4 linked regions of the Drosophila melanogaster genome follow. The protein of the gene in region 2 interacts with the protein of the main gene of each other region in a pairwise test. Each region holds a gene or a part of one and is shown on either strand. Other genes may lie near its edges. The genes, in order: GstE1, CG11964, c12.1 and CG8617.

The links.
Region 1: the proteins of CG11964 (region 2) and GstE1 interact in a two-hybrid assay, tested with the Drosophila melanogaster proteins (one large-scale study listed by BioGRID).
Region 3: the proteins of CG11964 (region 2) and c12.1 interact in a two-hybrid assay, tested with the Drosophila melanogaster proteins (one large-scale study listed by BioGRID).
Region 4: the proteins of CG11964 (region 2) and CG8617 interact in a two-hybrid assay, tested with the Drosophila melanogaster proteins (one large-scale study listed by BioGRID).

What each region holds. Positions count from the first base shown.
Region 1 is NT_033778.4:18,395,331-18,400,219, reverse strand, and holds GstE1 (glutathione S transferase E1), read right to left. Parts: upstream 1,828-4,889; 5' UTR 1,789-1,827; coding exon 1,114-1,788; 3' UTR 997-1,113; downstream 1-996. Other genes in the region: GstE2 (glutathione S transferase E2), read right to left, coding at 31-696; GstE10 (glutathione S transferase E10), read left to right, coding at 2,755-3,477.
Region 2 is NT_033777.3:8,941,921-8,947,774, reverse strand, and holds CG11964 (uncharacterized protein), read left to right. Parts: upstream 1-2,754; 5' UTR 2,755-2,789; coding exon 2,790-2,819; intron 2,820-2,876; coding exon 2,877-4,310; intron 4,311-4,374; coding exon 4,375-4,570; intron 4,571-4,631; coding exon 4,632-4,717; 3' UTR 4,718-4,821; downstream 4,822-5,854. Other genes in the region: ScsbetaA (Succinyl-coenzyme A synthetase beta subunit, ADP-forming), read right to left, coding at 4,941-5,097, 5,705-5,854.
Region 3 is NC_004354.4:9,316,703-9,321,898, reverse strand, and holds c12.1 (c12.1), read left to right. Parts: upstream 1-2,675; 5' UTR 2,676-2,776; coding exon 2,777-2,907; intron 2,908-2,970; coding exon 2,971-3,619; 3' UTR 3,620-3,984; downstream 3,985-5,196. Other genes in the region: c12.2, read right to left, coding at 1-296, 361-932, 992-1,312, 1,387-1,814, 2,032-2,082, 2,215-2,407. UniProt on the Drosophila melanogaster protein: Involved in pre-mRNA splicing.
Region 4 is NT_033778.4:14,354,204-14,359,577, reverse strand, and holds CG8617 (uncharacterized protein), read left to right. Parts: upstream 1-2,296; 5' UTR 2,297-2,379; coding exon 2,380-2,442; intron 2,443-2,627; coding exon 2,628-3,407; 3' UTR 3,408-3,809; downstream 3,810-5,374. Other genes in the region: Arc1 (Activity-regulated cytoskeleton associated protein 1), read left to right, coding at 1-142; CG8613 (uncharacterized protein), read right to left, coding at 4,310-4,773, 4,837-5,042, 5,100-5,374.

The sequences.
Region 1 (4,889 bases), on a different chromosome or scaffold from region 2:
TTGATGGTATTTTTTTTTTAATACAAATTACTATTGCTCCAGATTTAATACGGGTTTCAATAAATTGATATACTTCTTCAAGCCCCGCAGATTGTCTTCCTCATAGTGGGGCAACTTAGAGAGTCGTTCGAACCAAGCAGCCACCTTTGGATACTTTAACTCATCCAGATCAAGAACAGCGGCCAGCGAGGATGCAGTAGCTCCGCAGCATAAATCAGCTATGGTCAGTTGCGACCCGGTCAAATAGGGATTATCCCCTAGAAAGTTCTCCAAATGGCCATATGCATCTTTAATGTTGTCCACCTTCTCCTTGGGTACCAGGCTTACTTGGCGAAGAAAATAGGGTATACTGACATTTCGCAGCGACATAAACAGAATGCTGGCATCAAAGAACAAACGCTGATCCACCTGGGCGCGCAACACCAGATCCCTGGGATATAGCTCATCCGAATTGGCATACTTGTCCACCAGGTAGCAGACAATAGCATGTGAATCCCAGATAAGGGCACCATTATCTTCGAGGAGTGGTACGGTGTGCTGCGGGTTCTTTTTGAGGAACGCATCCTTAAAGTGATCTCCTGCCAGTAGATCCATTTCCTTGTATTCGTAGTCCAAGTTTAAGGCCCGCAAGGTCAGCTTGCAAGCGCGAACAGGAGGACTAATATCCATGCCATACAAAACCAATTTATCCGACATGATGCGATCACCAGAGAGACCCAAGTTCCACTAAATTTGCCACACACAGAAATCTAAACGAGCTTAACTAAACAACCCAATTGGGTGCGCTGAGCTTGCCCCATTTGTATCTTAAATAAACTTTTGTAATTGTACACTGACGATATCATAAATGAGCGATAAAAATATTACGGTCGGGTTCCCCAACTGTGAGATAATAATTACTGACTCAAGTCCCATATTAAAGTTTATAAATTTCAGTATTTATTATAAATTCAAATATTTAAATAAATATAAATTAAATAAAAAAATAAATTAAATATTTTATATATATGTTATATTTTATTGAAGAAGTTTACGTTTTAGAAATGGATGTGTATGTTGTTAATTGATGGAATTCAAACTTGTGAAATGTCATATTTAAATATAAGTTTAGTTTCACTTGTCGCCCAGCTTGGTCCACTTGCTGCGCAGGAAGGCGACGTAGCTCTGGGCCGGAGCTTCGTTGATCTCCTTGTAGTAGGGCAGCTTATTGAGGCGATCCAACCAGGCGGTGACCTTGGGATATGTAGCAGGATCTATGTCCACGGCAGCGGGCACGGCGCTTACAGTGGGTCCGGTGGACAGATCGGCTAGGGTTAGCGAATCGCCGGCCAGGTAGGGGCTGTTGCCCAGGAACGTCTCCAGCAGCTTCAGACCCTGGTGTACGGCGTCCAGTTTTTCCTGGGGCACTTCGGTAACACCGTTTATCCAAAACGGGCGGCTGACATTGGCTATACTGGCATAGATTACACTGGCATCGAAGAAGAGACGCTGATTGACGATCGCACGCTTGGCCAGATCCTTGGGATACAGCTCATCCGACTTGGCATACTTGTCCACCAAGTAGGCGGCAATGGCATGGGAGTCCCAGATGAAAGTGCCATTATCATCGAGCATCGGTACCGTGTGTTGGGGATTCTTCTTCACATATTCCTCGCTCAGGTGCTCGCCCGCCTGAAGATTCACCTCCTTGTACTCGTAGTCCAGATTCAGGACCTTTAGGGTAAGTTTGACGGTCCTCACACAGGGACTGAGATCTGTCCCATAGAGTACAATTCCAGAGCTCGACATGATACGTGTTGTTTACCCGTCAGTGTTTTTCTTTCGACTGATCTCTCTATTTACTGTACATATATACACACCTTATTGCCTCAAGCTTTTTGCTAAATGAGAGAGCATTTCGTAAATCTAAGATAAAAGCTCGAAACCATGTGTTAAACAGTTAAAAAAAAACCATATATATAATATGTATGCCTATTTCATCATAACAAACATTAATTACCCCCAACTGATAGTTCTGGAATCATCTATATGATACTAATTTTAAAACACCATATGCAGTGGTGAACTACAAAAAACATATACTCATCAAAAACAAAGTAGGTCTCTGTGAACTCAGGAACATTGGTTGTCAGAAGAAATTAATTTAATACAGTTACTTGTTTTATGATTTATTGTAATATACATCTATTTGAATCATGTAGAACCCATGTAAATTTACAATTCAAGTCTTCCTAACGAAGCTTGAAAGTTTCTAAAAGCTTAAAGCTTAAGTTAAGCTGGCATAAAGCTTATCGTTATTTTGGATAAAATTGTATGATCTGATACACAGAAGTAATAATATTAAACTCATAATTTTATAATTATATTTATATGAAAATGTTTGCATAGAAACACTGCTAATGAGTCTGGTTACTTTAGGTTTCGTTTGGACGTTTCTAGCAGTGTATATAAGTAGCCCCTTTGGTGCTCCAACTATGATCAAATAAATCACGGGGACATTGATCAAATATTGACACAGCTAATAGATAGCAGACCGACTTATCCCGGACATTAATAAACAATCAGGCAAACTTAAACTTGCAGCATTATGACGTCTTTGTGGTAATTATCAAGAAACTAAGTTTAATATCTAATCTTATCGCGTTTGAAAGAAATTTAAATTATTTAGACTGCCTTGAGTCAGTTGTGGATGGCACACTGTCTGCTACGAATCTCAATTCAACCAGCTAGAAGGCAATTAGTTAAGCAACCACAATGGCTAACCTGATTCTATATGGCACTGAGTCCAGTCCGCCGGTCCGTGCCGTTTTGTTGACCCTTCGTGCCCTCCAGCTGGACCATGAATTCCATACGCTGGACATGCAGGCCGGCGATCATCTGAAGCCGGATATGTTACGCAAGAATCCCCAGCACACGGTACCCATGCTGGAGGATGGTGAGTCATGCATTTGGGACTCACACGCCATCATCGGCTATCTGGTGAACAAGTACGCCCAGTCGGATGAGCTCTATCCAAAGGATCCGCTGAAGCGAGCTGTGGTGGATCAGCGGCTGCATTTCGAGACCGGTGTCCTTTTTCACGGCATCTTCAAGCAATTGCAGAGAGCTCTGTTCAAAGAGAATGCCACTGAGGTGCCCAAGGATCGTTTGGCTGAGTTGAAGGATGCCTACGCCTTGCTGGAGCAATTTCTGGCGGAGAATCCCTATGTGGCCGGTCCTCAGCTGACCATCGCCGATTTTAGCATTGTGGCCACCGTGAGCACTCTGCACCTGAGCTACTGTCCCGTGGATGCGACCAAATACCCCAAATTATCCGCCTGGTTGGCACGTATCTCCGCATTGCCCTTCTATGAGGAGGACAACTTGAGAGGAGCCCGCTTGTTGGCCGATAAGATTCGCTCCAAGCTGCCCAAGCAGTTTGACAAGCTGTGGCAAAAGGCCTTTGAGGACATCAAGAGCGGAGCTGGAAAACAGTGATGCGGAAGCCATTGTCGCATCGAAAAGAGAGCATTGCCCAAAGTAAAATTGTATGTTAAATGGTATTTAATATGATGTATTAAAACTTACGCTGCTGGCAAAATGATTTAAAATGTATATTATGTTTGAATAATCTTCTTTTTTTCCCAGTGTATAGGCTCACTATATACTGTTCTGAGTTAACTGAAGACTTTGTAGCCATCTAAGTGCTCTTGGCCGGTAAATGTCCTTGATGGCGAACATTTTTTTTATGTTGTATATAAATTACTATCTAGCGTGGAGTGCATTTCCAATGGCAACGCAGCCAAAAGTTTACAACTTTTTTGCGCTCATTAAAATTATAAAATTTTACCCTCCACAAAAGCGACACAAAATAGAAGAGGGCGGGGTAAATGAAAAGCGCAAAGTTTTCCTGCCGTGTCGTGCATGCTAAAGTTGTTAAATCATAATTAATTTATGACGGCGCCATCCGCCCAAGCAGCTAGCCAGCCCAGCTCCGCAGCAAACCCAACTCGCCCCCGTTTTATGCCACTTCCAAATTTGCCTCTTATCTGCGCTCGGGTCTCGAACTCCCCGCCCTTCGCTTGCTCCAAGTCCACAAAAAGGACGCGCCGTCGTTTAAAATACTCTTAAAAAAGGAGCCAAGTCTAAATACCTGCTGGGTGAAGTCCGTTTCCAAGCCCCACGGAAGTCCTGCAGGAGATGCTAACGTGAGCGGAAATTGGAGTCACGCAATCCGAAGATATTTCTTATGAAGCAAAAATTCCAAAACTTTTTGTTTTTATTTTGCAGATGTATGGAAATCTATAAAAAGTACATGAATTTTCCATTTGTTTCTTACTTATTTTCAATTTCTTCCCTACTTATAAACCTTTGTTGGCCTTAAAACACAAATTTTTTTAAAGCATTCCCTTCCTATTTAAGCCCCAAAGAAAAGAAAAAAAATCATAAGCTTTAACGTTTTTAGAAACTCGTGACTACTTTGTGGGCATCTCAGGAACTTACCTTGTGTCGCCGCGTTTTATGCGCCTCATTGCAACGGCGACGAGAAAGTGGTGGCAGGCAAACTAATTGGTTTAATTTCAACTTTTACTTTGGCCCAACCAGTCAGCATGCCACCCCTACTTACCCCAAACTCACCCCATCTCGCCCCGTCCACCAACCAACCCCCACATCCTTGCCAGCATGGCTCCCCGAAAATTCCACCCATCGTGTCAGTGGCATTTGAGAAGTTTGCTTTGCTTTACGCTCCGCCTGCCACTTCAGGACGCTTTTACTTTTTCTTTTTCGCTTCTACAGGATTCCACTTGGCCGGTTTATTTCCTGCTTTTTATTTTTTTTTTTTTATTTTGCTCACCGTTCTCGCATCTCAATTTATCCTAGTTTTCATTAAATGAACAAGCTGATTCTTA
Region 2 (5,854 bases):
ATTGTTATTTCTAACGATTTTGCCTTATTTGCTCTTGTCGCGCCCCGACTTCTTCCCTTTTTGTTTACGGCCATGATTTGTGTGTGCTTGGCTTTATTTGTTCGGATTGTGTTTTTCCCCCCATTGTCGCTATTAGTTTTGATTACTTTTGCTCTTGATTGAGACTTTGATTGATGCAAGATGGACGGGCGAGGGCGGTGTAGGGGGGGGGGGTGCAGGAAGCAGCAGAGCTGCAAAGCAGAACGGAAATGGATCGCGTGCCGGAAGTGGAGGAGCTGAAGATCCATACTTGGACTTGTTCGGCTCGAAATTTCGCAATTTTCATAATTTATGCACTCGCTCATTTTCGGCAATTAAAAAATGTAATTCATAGCCGAAGTGCAACTTTTGATTTTGCAACGATCACTGCACTTATTCACGCCTCGCCGATCCGCTGACCAAGATTCTAGCGAGAATAAATCATGTCTGTAATAACATTATAATCAATTATTAATATTTAAGTGTTGTTCTGGTTTTATTATTGTTCTTGCAGCGCTCTGCAGAAAACATTAATTAGCAGCAAAAGCAAACAGTGCACAACGAAAATCTTATGAAATACGCGATTAAACTTGATTATTTTTACGATCCAAAAATGTAGAAGGCTAACCGTTTTTAAATGATTGTAACAAGATCAAAGGCAAGAATACACCGGATGCAAATTCAAAAGCGAAATGAATATAACTTGTATGTATGTTGACATAAAGGTTTTACAATCACTTTACAGAACTTATATCTAGTCACAGGGAAAGTCTTTAAGCTCGAAGAGAAATATTTCACCATTTATTCCGTTCCGTTGTCAAGTTCGTGTTGCATTTTAATGGCACACACGATGGATGGCCTAAAACTGGTTGAGAACGGTTCAAGCCAAAAAATCCAAAAACAGACGCGACGCGACTGCAATTAATTTACAATGCACAACGGCAACAACTACAGAACAACAACAACATGAGCAGACGGCGCGTGATCTATGCGATCAATGGTCAGTGGGGTTCCGAGTTGGCTATTCGAGGGGCTTTCGGTAGAGGGGGGGGGGGGCTCTACTACTTCAACCGACTGGCCAACGACAAGTGACCCCATTTTTATTGGAACCTCCAAACGTGCGGCGTTGTTGCTGCCGTTGCCGCTTGTTCTACTTTGAAATTTCACTTTTCAAATCCCAGCTCGTGTGTGAGTGTAGATGCGGCAAAACAGGCAGGCAAAAAAAAAAAATAATTAATAAGAAAAACATAAAAAACGTGCGAGCATGCGTGAGTTCAAAGTAATTTCTTTCCAAGTTCGCTGCCTAAGTCTTTTGAATGGAGTGCAGTGCAAGGCAGCATTCGATGTGCGGTACAATAATGCCTCACAAAATATTATGGGTATATTCCCCAAGTGAGACAGCCCCATCCACATCCACACAGCAACCAATGCCAGCCAGAGAGCAAGACCAAGGCAACAACATTGACGATTTAACCTCAAACTTCAAAGTGTCACTGTCATGGCCCTTTTTACTACTCCGCCGCAGTCGAGCCGCAGCAACAAAAACAGCAAACAAGCCATCCGTCGTCTTCGTGGTAGTCGCCATAACCTGTTGGCAATTCAGTTTATGACTTTTTTGCCCGGCACAGTGTGGCCAAAATCCATAAACTCATTATTTATTTTGAATTTAATCTAAGCACTTTTACAATTATAAATATAGTGAAAATAAGGTAATTTCATTTTTAAAATATTTTCTATTATTCTTCGTAATTGAGCTATAGCTTATATGATCACTTTAAAATTCCCATATATTTTCTATTTTTAAAGCTCTTTTACAGCGAAGCTTTCACTAAGGTTTTGCCCCACTGTTCGGGCTCACGTATTGCCACTAAAAGTGGGTCAGCATGAAACAAGCCAGAAAAAAGTAAAAAAGCGGCAGGAGCCACAGCAACAATACTAATACCAATACCACTACCAATGGCAACTGCACAGGCAGCAACAACAACGCCAAATCACGCTGACGAACTGACTTGAAAAAAAAAGACTGGCTCGAAGAAAGCACACACACTAGCGCACACTCACTCACACACACATACACTCATAGACGCGAACAACTTGTTGAATTGCCAGAGCTTAAAGCAGTTGTAAATTTATTTTTGGGGCTTGGCCTTTAGGAATTTATGTAAACTCGTCGTCAAAGTCGCAGGCGCTGGGCTAAAACAGCCAAAGGCCCCTTTTTGGGAGGCTGGGTGGGCGAAAGAAATGTTTAATGGGTTCAAGTTGCTAGTTTTAAATTTCATATTAAAAGTATTAATTATTTAAAGAATACAGAAATTATAAACCATATTCTAGGTTTTTAAACTTATTAAAGCTCTTTTAGGATTGTTAGCTTTGCTTTATAAAATGTTGTAAAATTGCCTAGTAATTATTATTATTATATATTTATTTAAACAAAATCTTATAATTCAAGTAACATTTGAAGAGCACAAATATCGAAAAGCAATATATAATAGCGAATTAAAATTTGAATTAATTTTTGATTTATATAAAATGTAGGTAATAACAAATTTAAATCACAAATTGAAATCAGAATTATGAATTAATTTGAAGTTAAATATGATTCAAACAAAATAATGATGTCACCTTCTAAGGGTTAAAGGGCTTGAGTCTCCGCTAAGTCATGCTTATCATGGTTCTGAACCTATCTTCATTCACGTGCGGTTCACGTTCGATAGTATCGCTGAAGAATCGCCTAACGTTCCAGCACTAATTGTTTTTTAAGGCCCGCAAAAATGGACATCGGCGAACTGCTGGCGTTTAAGGTAAATATATGGATAATACCAATGATATTCATGCACCTGGACCATTCCAAACTGTAGCCGGAACAGACGCCAAAGCGTCCGCACGACGACGAGGACGATGAATTCGATTTGGCGAGCTCGCACGGAAAACGGGGCGGTGTCGATGAGAAAACCAAACGCATGCGGCGCATCGCCGATGCCAAGGAGTCCGCACACTATGTCAAGCAAAGTGGAGGAGCCACCGGTGGCAGTGGCACTTCCGCCTTTGAATTCGATCCGGAACTGACAGAGGAGGAACGCCTGAACATCCTGAAGTACGTGGAGAACGAGGAGGCCGATGGCGATGTTCTGGATGAGCAGAGCCTGAAGAAACTGATACTGGTGTTCGAGAAGCGTAACTTGAAGAACCAGGAGATGCGCATCAAGTTTGCCGACAGTCCCGAGAAGTTCATGGACTCCGAGGTGGAGCTGCACACGGTAATCCAGGAGCTGAAGGGCGTGGCCACGGTGCCCGATCTGTATCCAATTCTCGTGGATCTGCACGGCCTGCACAGTTTGCTCGAACTGCTGGCACATCAGAACACAGACATAGCCGTGGCCGTGGTAGATCTGCTGCAAGAAGTGACCGATGTTGATATCCTGGGCGAAAGTCAAGAGGGTGCCGAATCCTTGATTGAAGCACTGAGAAAAGAGCAAATCTGTGCTCTGCTTGTCCAGAATCTGGAGCGACTGAACGAACAGGTTAAGGAGGAAGCCGATGGCGTGCATAATACGCTGGCCATAGTGGAAAATCTTACCGAAATCGATTCGGAATTCGTGAAGGAAGCCGCTGAACAGGGACTGCTCGCCTGGCTGCTGAAACGGCTGCGCGGCAAGTCGCCCTTCGATCCCAACAAACTCTACTGCAGCGAGATACTTTCCATACTTATACAAACGGAGAACGAGAACCGATTACTGCTGGGTTCTCTGGATGGCGTGGATGTGCTGCTCCAGCAGCTGGCTGTCTACAAGAGACACGATCCCGCTAGCAACGAGGAGCAGGAGTACATGCAGAACCTCTTCAATTGCCTTTGTTCCGCTCTGATGGCCCGCGAGAATCGCGATCGTTTTCTCAGCGGCGAGGGTCTGCAGCTGATGAACCTAATGCTGCGCGAGAAGAAGATGTCTAGAAATGGATCGCTCAAGGTGTTGGATCATGCCATGGCTGGCCAGGATGGCAGAGACAACTGCAACAAGTTTGTCGAAATTCTCGGCTTGCGCACCATCTTCCCACTCTTTATGAAAACCCCCAAGCGCAACAAGCAGCGCCTAATCTCCGCCGATGAGCATGAGGAGCATGTGACCTCCGTAATCGCATCAATGTTGCGAAACTGCAAGGGCACACACCGCCAGCGAATGTTGGCCAAGTTCACGGAGAATGATCACGAGAAGGTGGATCGCCTGCTGGAGCTGCACCTCAAGTATCTGGCCAAGGTGGAAGCCATAGACAAGGAGATCGATCAGCAGGCTAAGGTACGAAATGAAGTTTTATGTGTAACCATAAACTAATCAATTGAAAACCAATATCATGGCATAGGATCCCACCATTGATGAGGACGAGGAGGCGGAGAATAACTATATAAAACGACTGACCGGCGGGCTGTTCACGCTGCAGCGCATCGACTACATCCTGCTGGAGGTCAGTGCCACTGGCGACACCGTCAAGCAGCGTGTACTGCAGATCCTTAACTTGCGCGGCGCTTCCATGAAGACCATTCGCAGCATAATGAGGGGTAAACCACAAATGGAATGCCCAGTAAAACTTAGATGTTCAAATTTCAAATTCATTCACAGAATACGCTGGCAACCTGGGCGATGGCGACACCGACTGGCGGGAACAGGAGCAGAACCACATATTATCTCTAGTCGATCGTTTCTAAGGCTCAACACACAATAAACAAAACATAAATATTATGAAAATCTTTAAAAATGTGGCGGGTCAGAAGTTTACATCTGAAATTTGAGATTAAAATTTTGAACAATGAAACTTTTGTGGCAAATTTGGATTTTGAATTTAAACAATGGCTTCCTTCTTTTTGATGGTGTAAGTCTCAAACACATCCGGCTCGATCCTGCATTGTTTATTACAAAATTTGTATCCCTTTACTTTTTACCTTTCTTTTCGCAAATGTCTTTCTTTTCTTCCTTTTTCTTTTCCTCTTTTTTTGTGCAATCAGATTTCTTGTCATCTTTCTTCTCCGACTTCTTGCCACCTTTACTGTCGGGCTGTTTTTGATCTTTCTTGCAATCGCCCTTGCCCCTAAGGTGCAGTGATTAAAGTTAGTAAGACTCTATTTAAAAATGAACTAAAACGCACTGTTTTAAGCAGTCTTTGAATAACGCAAAAGCCAGGTTCGGTGTATGATTGTTTGGTGTTTTAATTTAAAGCAAACTAAATAGGATAATACACAAGATGATGGATCTGCTTTAAAAGCAGGGTCACATTTCAATAAATAAAATTTAAATGAACTTTTGCAAAAATCACAATTAAAACGTATTTTCATTTCCATTTTCTATTATTCACGTGCAATTAATGTTGTTGACTATTTAAGATACAATATAGAAATTGTTTAGGTGCAAAGAGAACACTCAACTTGCTCGATTATTCGAATTATCTATGACATATCCTTAGGACTTTAAACAGCTTTAAACTTAACATTTTTGCAAAATTAATTCATCAATTGTTCGACCGATCGTTACGAATACATAATGCTCTAACTACGAACCGATGGCATAGTTTCATTGAGTAGTTTACGTGTGGCTAGAGTAAATGTTTGGTTTTGGTTCTACTTTTTTGTCGACTTTCATTTTGTGTCTGCGTGTGCTTATGAGTGTTGACTTAGCCGGTAACTGATGGAGCTATCTACTTTTGGGCATCGGGAATCTCGAAGTTCACGTCCATCTTCATTTCGCGGGCCAGTTTGACGATTTGCGCCAAGTGCACGGCGAGATCGGCAGCCTTATCTAGATCATCGCGGGCCAGAATCTTCAGTCCAGATGTACGAATCAGTTCGCGG
Region 3 (5,196 bases), on a different chromosome or scaffold from region 2:
GTAAATCTCCACCACACAGCTGCGCCAGCAATTCCGCCTCTTCGCTCTGACGCAAGGGACGCAGTTCTTGGTAGAGAAACAGGCTGAGCAGCTCGGGTGTCAGCCAGCTGGGTTGTCCGCCGCCCAGACGCGGTGGCTCCGCCAAGGCCACCACGCGGAAAGACTCATGGATGGGTAGAAAACCAAGTTTACCTAGCTCTTCCTTGGAGAATCCCTGCTGTAGCAGTGCCTGGTAGCGATTTGCGCCCAGAAGAGTGGTGCCATCACACAGCTGCAGTTCCCGATCGTGGATGAGCCTGAAATGGGACATTTTTCATAGAATATATCACTTTAATGAAGCTATTTCTATTTCTAACTCACCGCTGCAGAACGCTGGCCGTGCTCTTGTGTAGCCGATGCAGTCCATTTAGAACCGCCACAGATCCCGATTTGGCAGCTCGCACCAGTGGTGAGTCCCTCCATACGGTGTCTCCTTGGGGACTTGTGATACGCTGCTGGACGATATCCCTGCTGGTCATGTCCTCGTACAGCATCATGGGCTCTGAGGTTTGCTGCAGGAGGCGGAGCAACTCCTGGGTCAGCGTCAGCTTGCCCACACCCTTCTCGCCCACGAGACACACATCCCCGACAGCATACGCTTGCAGTAGACTGGCGAGAGCTTGCCTCTGATGCGGTAGATCGACAAAGTAGGTAGAAGCCGTAGGAATCTGGCCTTCAGGCAAATTTAGCTGCAATTCGTCCAGTTTTATGTGGATCAGGGAGTTTTCCTGCGACTGTGCTTCGATTTTTTTGATGCTCGGGCTGGGCACCAGTTGAATATCCAGCTTCTTGAGTAGCTCCTCGACACGCTTCTTCTGGTCGGGCTTCAGCATGGTTTGATATGGATAAATGCGACTGATGACGTCGTGCAGACTCAGAGAGGGATTAGCCGCCTGAAGAAGCAGAAGGAAAAGTAAGTATTTTATACGGAAATGTGAAGGGGTACACCTACCAGCATCTTGACACCCAATGCTAGATTGTGGATGGGAAAGTCGGGCAGTTGGAGCACAGGATCCGCCTGCTGCAGGGTCAAGGCGAAGGTGAGCAACTGCTTCAGCTGCTCGCCGGGCACAGAAGGCGCCTCCTGCTGCAGTTCCTCGTACAGCTCGCCGTACGAATATGTGGTCACGTTGCGGGACTGGAAGCGGGAGCGCAGCGGTGGATCCAGTGGCGTGCCCTTGTACTTGTGGGTGGGCAGACCCAAGGCTACCACCCGGAATTGCTCCGATACGCGTAGCAGACCCCATTCGTCCAGCTGCTCCCGCGAGTGTTTCTAAAACAAATGAGAATGAGGATTAGCAAGCTTCAGAGGACTAGGAACGTGCACACAGGAAACAGCTAACATACCTCTAGAAGTTTATCGTAACGCTCCGGCGACATCAGGAACTTGCCGCTCTCCAGGTGCATCTCGCGATTCTCCAGCAGATTGTTTAGTATGGGCAGGACATTGCGTTCCGCGTGCTCCACTCCATCGAGGACAAGAACTCGGCCATTGAGCGCCGCTCGTACGGCTCCCTGATCGTGGAAGATGGCCGCCCTGTCGTTGATTTCACGTCGCTGCTTCAGATCGCTCTCGGTGGTGTCTCTGCTGAGGGCCACGTACTCCACCTCGCGCTGCGTCAGCTCCAGGAACTGCATGGCCAGCTGGCGGCGCAGCGGACCCGGTTGCCCCAGTAGAAACATGTCCTGACGCAGTGCATCCTTCTGCAGCATCCAGCGCAGGTGGTGCAGTGCTGATTGCGACAGCTGAAGGGTGCCATCCGATGCGTATTTCACTATCGGATTGGATGGATACAAGAACGAAAGGTTCGTGTTAAAACATAAATCATTTGGTCCTCCAAATACAGAGTTTATTAAGTCTCGAGTTCGGATAGCTTGTGCCTCATATAATTTGTCGATTTGGCCAATTATGAAATATAGCATGTAGCTTGTTTTCACATAGGAATTTTCTTGAGATTATAGTGGTCTTTTCTCGATGACCATGAGTTTTACATTCATTCCTTCGCTTTAGATCCGTGGTCTCTTTAATCCTTGATGTGTCTGCTACTCAAAGATGATATAATGACATGATATAATGATAATGATGAAATAATTCTGCGGCACCAAGATCTTTATGTTGACCTTTGCACTGTCCAGAGATCTTGGCTTCCCACTTCCCGGCATCCCCCTGCTCACCGTATTGCTGCGGCACCAGTTGCGGATCCTTGGGCTTGCGCAGCCGCACGCTCACATCGCCGATGGTCAGGCTGTCCTCCTCCGGCTGATCCTTGCCAGCAGTCGTGCTCGCCCAGCTTCGTCGTGGAATTCTTGCATTTCGGAGGCTGTGATGCAACAGGTGGCCGCTGCAGGCGCGCAAATTGGCCAGCATGGCCGTCGGTGGGGGATGGATAGCAGGGGGTTGGCTAAACTAAACTTAAAATCGCTTCAAGTTGCCGAAAAGTTTTGTTTTTCAGCGTTTTTTTGTTTGTCGGATAAAACGGCGGTGCTCCGCGCGTGTTTACCGTAACAATGCTGCCCATTGGTGCGCACAGCTGATGTTCCAGTGATGCCCAGCAATAGCCGCCCTTATCACGGTTAAAGTCCGCACTAAGCGTGTATCGAAAGGCCTATCGGTCAGTGTGACCGTGGTACGGCTCGATTATTGGTACTGTTGATACATCAAACAAAGCACGCAGTTCGGAAATTCATTTCACTTTTCATCAATTTAACAATTAAACGCATAACTAGCTAGTTGAAAATGACCACAGCAGCGCGTCCGACCTTCGATCCAGCCCGCGGAGGATCCGGTCGCGGCGAAAAGGATCTGAGTGCACTGAGCAAGCAGTACTCCAGTCGCGATTTGCCAGGCCACACGAAACTGAAATACAGGTAAGGATTAATAGTAGCCCACATAACAATTTCCTTGTCTAACGAGAACTTGTGTTTGCGCAGGGAGACTGGCCAGGGCACCAGCGATGAGAACCGCAACCGTGACTTCCGCAAGGAGCTGGAGGAGCGCGAACGTGAGGCGCGCTCCGGAACGGGAGCCACTTCGTCGTCGTCGGGCAAGGCACTGCCCTCCATTGTACGCAAGGCGATTGAGGCGAACAACGCCGGCGGTGGCAGCAGTGCCGCAAAGCGTTCCAAGCCGGACGCAGGGCAGCAGCAAGCGCAGCAGGCGGCTCAGCAGCAGGCCGCCAATATGGACGCCGATGAGCCGCTGGACAACGATAGCTCCGATTCGGACAGCGATTCCGATGACGATGATGCCGCCCTGCTGGCCGAGCTGCAGAAGATCAAGCAGGAACGTCTGCAGGAGACGGCGCGTCGCGAGTCGGAAAAGAAGCAGGAGGACGAACGCATACGCATGGAGAACATCCTGTCCGGCAATCCACTGATGAACTATGAGCCCGGCACCGCCGCCTCGGCAGCGGGACGTGCCTCTGGACTGGGCGGTGATCTAAAGATAAAGCGCCGCTGGGACGATGATGTGGTCTTTAAGAATTGCGCCAGATCTGCGCCCGATAAGAAGACGCACTTCGTCAATGACGCCCTGCGCTCCGATTTCCACAAGAAGTTCATGGACAAGTACATTAAGTAGGCAGCATCTGGGACTCGCTCTCAAGTTTCAGCCGCGCTCTTTTTTTGTAATAGTTTAAGTAAAACAATTGTCAACCCTCTTTGTCCTTTCACCCCTCCCCCCACAAGCTGTTCATTAAATTTCGTATTTTGTAAGATAACTCTGATATCCAATAATCATAAACAATCTTTCTAAGCTAAATACCGATTGGTTTCGTACGTAGCAAACTGACCATTTTGTAAGGCATTTGCTTTTTAAGTTTTTCAGTTTTCTTTTGAACAGTGAATGATAAATTTCTTTAAACGAGAAACATATTTTTTAGTATGTATAAGATCTTTCTTATGTAATTAATTTTTGGAATAATTAAATGGAATGCTAGCCAGAATAGTTCCATAGGCGATTGGTTTATTGCTTTGTATACTTTGTGTTTGGTTAAAAATCCAAATAAGAACCTACTCATACACTCATATTATTTAGCAATTCGTATTGAGGTCGACTTTATTTGACGAATAGGCACTTTGGGCCATCTTCCTTCTGCGGGCTGTGACCCAATGACTGGCGGCTGACCGCGAGTGGAAGTCCGAGTGCGAAGGGCAGGAACCTTAACCAAAGTGTGAAACCGCAAAAAACATCGGTAGCCGGTCGAGGGACAACAGCAGCAGCCACCAGAGGCGGCGGGCCAGGATGTCAAGGGGGGTCAGGGTCAGGGAAAAGGGTAAGCGCTGGAAAGAGGGGCGAGAGGGGTAGCTGCTACGTGAGCGCACGAAGAAGTGCCCAAGAAGCGCAGGAAGCCCAATCATCATGGCGATCAGGGCAAGGGCAATTGTCGCTGCTGATGAGGCACGAAGCAAAATCAATTTGCCCCAAGGAGCCGGGCCAAGCAAGCGCAGAATAACTTGGTCAATTACGCCGAGAGCTACACTGCTCGAAATGCAGGTAAAACATTAAAAATTAATTTTACAGCAGCTGCATAATATCCATCAAATTTGATTGAAAAATGCTTAGATGGGCAATGCGCAAGAATACCTGTACAAATTCTAACGCACTCTGTTTATTTCTCATTTAAAAGTTCAAAATCGAAGTGATAATTGTTTCCAGTGCAGCAGAAGCCACTGCGAATGCAAATCATCCGGTGGGTCTTGATTTCCACGCCTCTTTAATGCCCCGCACGCGGCCTGCGCCATCTGATGATCTGAACTCCGACTTTGTCAATGAGCCCACGTTCCGCCTGCGAGTTCGAATCTAAATCCCAACCTGAATCTTCATCCGACTGGATGCCTGCCACCCCCCCTTGGCGCTGGCAGGGATCAGTGAGTGGTCGCGACCCCGCTCCCAAAAGTTGACGAACGCTCAATTTTACGCTAATTCGATCTGAATCAAAATCAAACAAAATTAGCCTGCCCATAGCTGGCAAAAGCGATGATGATCCGCGCACACTAGTCAACAAAGTTTGGAAACATATGGAATGGAGTGAAACTAGGGGTATTTATGAATAAGATAGAAAGAACAGTTTTGGTAAAATAGTTCCATTCATTGCCAGTTAATAATAATAATAATAATAAACTATATACTTAATGATTGCCATTAAATTGTATGAC
Region 4 (5,374 bases), on a different chromosome or scaffold from region 2:
CGAGGAACAGCTTGCCACAGCAAAGAACACCCGTGGCTCCAAGCGCACCACCCGCTGCACCTACTGCAGTTTCCGGGGGCACACCTTCGACAACTGCCGTAAGCGCCAGAAGGATCGGCAGGAGGAGCAGCACGAGGAGTAGGCGACAAAAAGAACATCAAATACCAACAGGCAGCAGCCAACGTCATTGATGACCTCATCGCTGCTGCCGCCCACCCAAACAGAACTTTTCGTAGCCTCGCCAGCCGATCGACGTCAGAGAGAGCCCAACAACCGGAGAGCTGGAGATGGGGAGCAGCCACATCAACAGCAGCAACAGCAGCCACATCTCTTCATACTCTTCATACTCACTGGCAATCGGCGTGCCGGTAAGCCTCGACTAGCTTCTGAAATCCACAAATCCACGCTGTTTGTATTGCTATTCGCAATGCCTCGAAAACGGCTCTATTTTCATATAATTTCACGCCGACTTGCGGCTACTTTGGCACAGAACGCCAGCTTTTGGAAAGCAATAATTTTTATTGCAACATTGAACCTTTATTTGCAACTAGAAACTAGATTTCGAGAATCATCGGGCGGGGCGGCTGAGGATCTGGCATTTCGTCCGTAAGATCGGTTATTCGCAATGGAGGAATATGATATTCGAACCAAATGGCGGGTGAAGTGCCTCGGCATGGAGCTCCATTTTCTTCGAATCTTATGTTTTGACATTGCGAGTCTGAAATGGATGTTGCCTGATCTCCAGCCGCCCCGCACAACCGTTGATTCTCACAACCGCCGGCTCCACTTTGTGCCGGTCAGCGGAGAAAAAGCGATTATTTGGCTATCAAAAGATATGATCACTGTGTTGAGAGACATGGCAATCATCGCTATTGTAACCATATATTTGCTGATTTTTCGTCTGATCCTGGTCCTTTGTGAAGCTAGCAAAAAACCCCCCGCCCGGTGAATGCCCACTTAGATCCTTTTGCAGGAGGATTTCGACGGCCCTGAAGGTGGGCGCCACCCGTTTCCGGTAGCGGCTTCGGCTGCTTCCGGTTTCCGGTGTCGCAACCCTTCGCGATGTCCCCCGTGCGAGTGGAGCTACAGTGGGCGTGAGCCGGGCAAAACCTAAATTTCTTCGGAGATTTAAAAAACCAACAAATTTTTTGACTTTTGTCAAAACAATTCGAACCCACATAGCACTACGATGGCTAACGATTCGCCATCCGTGCGGTTGGCACGCCAAAACTGTCTCTTCGAGATCACGGGCCTAGGGCTGTTTAACATTCGACCCAAGCGATTTCGCGACAGGCTTCGGCACGCCAGTATATAACCCAAAACACACAAACGTCAGGGGCTGGAACGCGTCACTGCCGTGCTCCTCCAGCCGGCACAGTCATTCCCCGCCCCCACACCAAGCAAAACCGGCCGCTTGTGCAGATGACATAGGCGCGACCAGCCAACTGACCCGGCTGACCAGACTTGCACCGTGCGCCATCAACTGGAATCTTGGCCACAAGCACAGCAATAGTTTGGCCCGCTATTCCCACACAGAAACCCAGAGTGGGGGCCTATGGAAGACCACAAGTGGTTGCGTGGAACTGCTAAAAATATAAAACTGTAAAACTAAAGACTGAAACTAGAAAACAACCATTAAACTCAGAAACGGAAAACTGCGTAATTGTTTTTATTTTATGGGGTGGATGGGACAACATTTTTACAGGGAATCATTTTTTTAAACAAAAGTTGATATAATATAAGAAAAAATGCAATTAGCCAAGCTCTACAAAGCTCACGTATTTAATAAATGCTCCACCGAATGAAATGAATATTACAATATGCCATATAAAAATACAACATTAAATGATATTAAAACTGGTTTCTTTATTTCAATATAATTAAATGTCTCAGCCCTTCTAGACGTTATGTATAATAATTTCAAGTGGCTACAATCAGACTTAAAATCTAACTGGATTTACTTTCTACTAATAATATCCCAATCAGAAGTCAGATGTTGTGTGATTACATCTTGTTACATTTTTGATGATATTTAAATAAATTATGCTACATCATTAGTCATTGTGTCAAAGTAATTTTAATTTTATACAGTTGCAGTTTCGAGGTCGGACGGAACGGTCTGAAATTAACTAACAATATCTCGTGTATTTTGTGTGTGCTTTCGAAAAAAGTTTGTTTGAAAAATGTGTTAAGAAAGTGGCGCCGCCGAAATACCGATATCGCCAAGTATCCAATTATCGACGTGCCGTGGGTCCCGATTGTCTAACATAAATAAAGCCTGCTGATATCGAAGTACAACAGCCCGATAGGTGGAAGCAAATATCGATGACAGTCTTTATTTATATATTTCCTAATCAATATACCTGATATCAACAACTGATGCACAAAACACACCGTCTCACCACCGACAGCCAGTACATGGAGGTCGAAGGCTTGCTGCAGGTAAGTGGATGCACTGCGTCCGCAGATAAATGAATAGGTTTAATCCAGTGGCTGCTGCAACGCCCTTTCTTTTCGCCCCGTCGCACCACACACGACACCACTTTGCTCTTCGCTCTCCACTCGCCGCTCGCCACACTCCACCCACTCGAAAAACCTGGCCAAAAACCACGCACACACATGCACAGGCCATGGACATGCCCACCAGCCACGACCCGGAGGCGGAACTGGAACCGGAGTCCACGTCGCTGTGCCGCCTGAGCCGCTACAACGTGACCAACCTGTACGACGGGCCGGCGGGCGGGGGTTCCTCATTGAGCTCGGGCCGCCAGCGTTGCTACACAATGCCGCATGTGCCACCGCCAGCGCCGCCCTCCACGCCCACTCTGCTGACCAGCGGGTGCGGCGGCAGCAGCAACTCCGTATCCGTCTCCATCTCGCCCACCTGCTCCGCTGGAAGCCATCCCTTGGATAGCCAAAGTTTGAGCCAGAGCCCCTTGAACCACTTCATCTACGTAAAGAATGGCAAGAACCTGCGTCGCGAATCGCGCTGCGTCGACTCGGAGCTGTCAAAGTTATTCAACGTGGTGTCCATCACAAACCGGCTGACGGCTATTAAGAACCGCAGCAATTCCATTTCGAATTCCAGTGGAATACTCAATGCCTCGCGCACCATATCGAAGTTAAACGGGGCGACGGCCACCAAGATCTTTAAGATTCATCGGGATCCGAAGGAATTTCTGCGCGAAACGGACGAGGATTCCGTGTCTGCGCCGGAGTACGACGAGGAGGAGGAGGACACGCGCTTCCGTTTCTTTCGGCGTGCGCGCTTCTCGAGGAGGTACAGTACCGCACGATCCGGCCGGAAATTTGCGCGAAAGTTCGCCCGATTTGAGCATCATGAGCGCATGGAAACCATCGTGGATAGTTTCGATGCAGCAATGAGCTTCAATGATGCAGACACCTGAGAGGCGGAGGCCACGACGAGGACGACGACGACAGCAACAGTTGAGAATGAGGCATGGCAGATGGTCGGCCAACCAATGTGATGAATGTGAATTTCAACTAAATTATTTTAATTACTACAAACTACTATTATTACGATTATTATTACCGATTACCGAACTGTTCTCTCCATACGTTTAGTTTCCTTCTACGCCGATTGCCGTGGCCTTCGAGATCCCAGCACCACTCCTGCATTTGATCGGGTTTGGTGGCGGATCGCGGACGCAGCGCATGGCACGCATTTAGTTTAAAGCCTAGTTTTACGCCTACGCCTCTGGGGCGGAGCAGGTGCAGCCGACCACCGAATGGTTGATAGCTCCACGAACAGAACGATTCCAATAAATGCACAAAACGTGTTGTATTCGAGAAGAGAGATTACTCGACGTTGGTTTCATTTATGGTGTGATGTGATTAGTGATTTTTTTTACTCCAACCTTAACGATTATTTACATAACGAATACACATTGTATGTTTTCTTTATTAACGTTGTATATGGACATGTATAAGGTTATTTCGGTTATTAGTCACTGTCAGGCTCGTTTTCTCGTTCAAATGGATGGGTATGATAGGTTTTAAACTGGAGAGAACCTTGCAGTTCAAAATCTACATAAGCTATACCATGAAAATAAGAAGAGGGGCCTTTGTACAACAACTTTAACCAACTCTAGACACTTAGGGAGCAATGCAGTCTCTCAGACTTAACAGTGAAATAAGCTGGAGTCGCAAGTCTATTGGGGTCTTTAATAACGGGATCTTAACACTATGTAGTTCCGAGAACTCCTTTTTGTTTGCTTTTGAAGCAAATCAATAACAATTAACTAACATCTAGAAGTTCTTAAAATACATTTCGAGTAAATTTCCGGATCTAATCACGTTTTGAGAAGAAATACGCCATTAGGTTATCCTCTAGCTGCTGCGGATCGGTAACTGGCATTCGACAAGCTCGCTCGTGACAAATGTAAACCGTAGTTTTACCGCCCACCATCTTAAACTTTGTCTGCAAGCGCTGATTGGAGGCTTCCTCTGGATTCGAGGGATCCACATGCACTATGATCATGCTTGGAATAAAGAACTTGCGACAAATTTCCACAAATCGTTGGGTGTCTGGCGAATCCGGTCCCACCACTGCCACAAGATCCAGCCCGTTCTCGTGCATCAGCAGGGCGGACAACATCTCTGGCAGAGCGTGTCCGAAGGGCGATACGTCTGCAAAGAAATTCAGTAGTTTCCCGGCCTTCTGGAGATAGGCATTTTCGTCATAATAGTGGGCCAGTAGGACAAGATTGTGGGCGGATACACTGTTTCCACAAGGTTCGGCTCCATCGTGGTCTTAACAAAATTTCGGGAAATCAGATATTGTTGGAGAGTGTACTTAAAAGCTATCCCACTCACCTTCCTTGAGTCGCACAATAACATTGGGTGCATCCTGTTGCGAGAAGAAATACGCTCCGTTTCGCTCGTCCCAGAAAAGCTTGTCCTGGGTGTCCTGCAACGCCTTTGCCCAATGCAATACATCTACGTCGAGTGTAGCTTTGTAGTAGTCCAGCAAGCCCTTGATGAGGAACGCATAGTCATCAAGGAACCCATCGATTTGCGATCTGCAACGGGCAATTTGTAAAATATTAAAAAATTTTATAGAGTAATTTAAAACTCACGCATTCTTCTCCAGGGTTTCATCACCCACGGCCACACCATAGCACGAACGGATGAGCAGCTTCTGTTCCGGATCATACATTTCCTTGCGAAGGAAATCAAGAAGTTCCTTTGCTGTCTGCATATACTGCTCCCTGTTGGCGGAATAGCAATTGCCTAGCTTGCAGAGTCCCGACAACACCAGACCGTTCCATGCGCATATAATCTTTGTGTCCAGATGCGGACGCGGTCGCTTATCCCGGATAACGTGCAATATATCATTGGTTGTGGCCAGCAG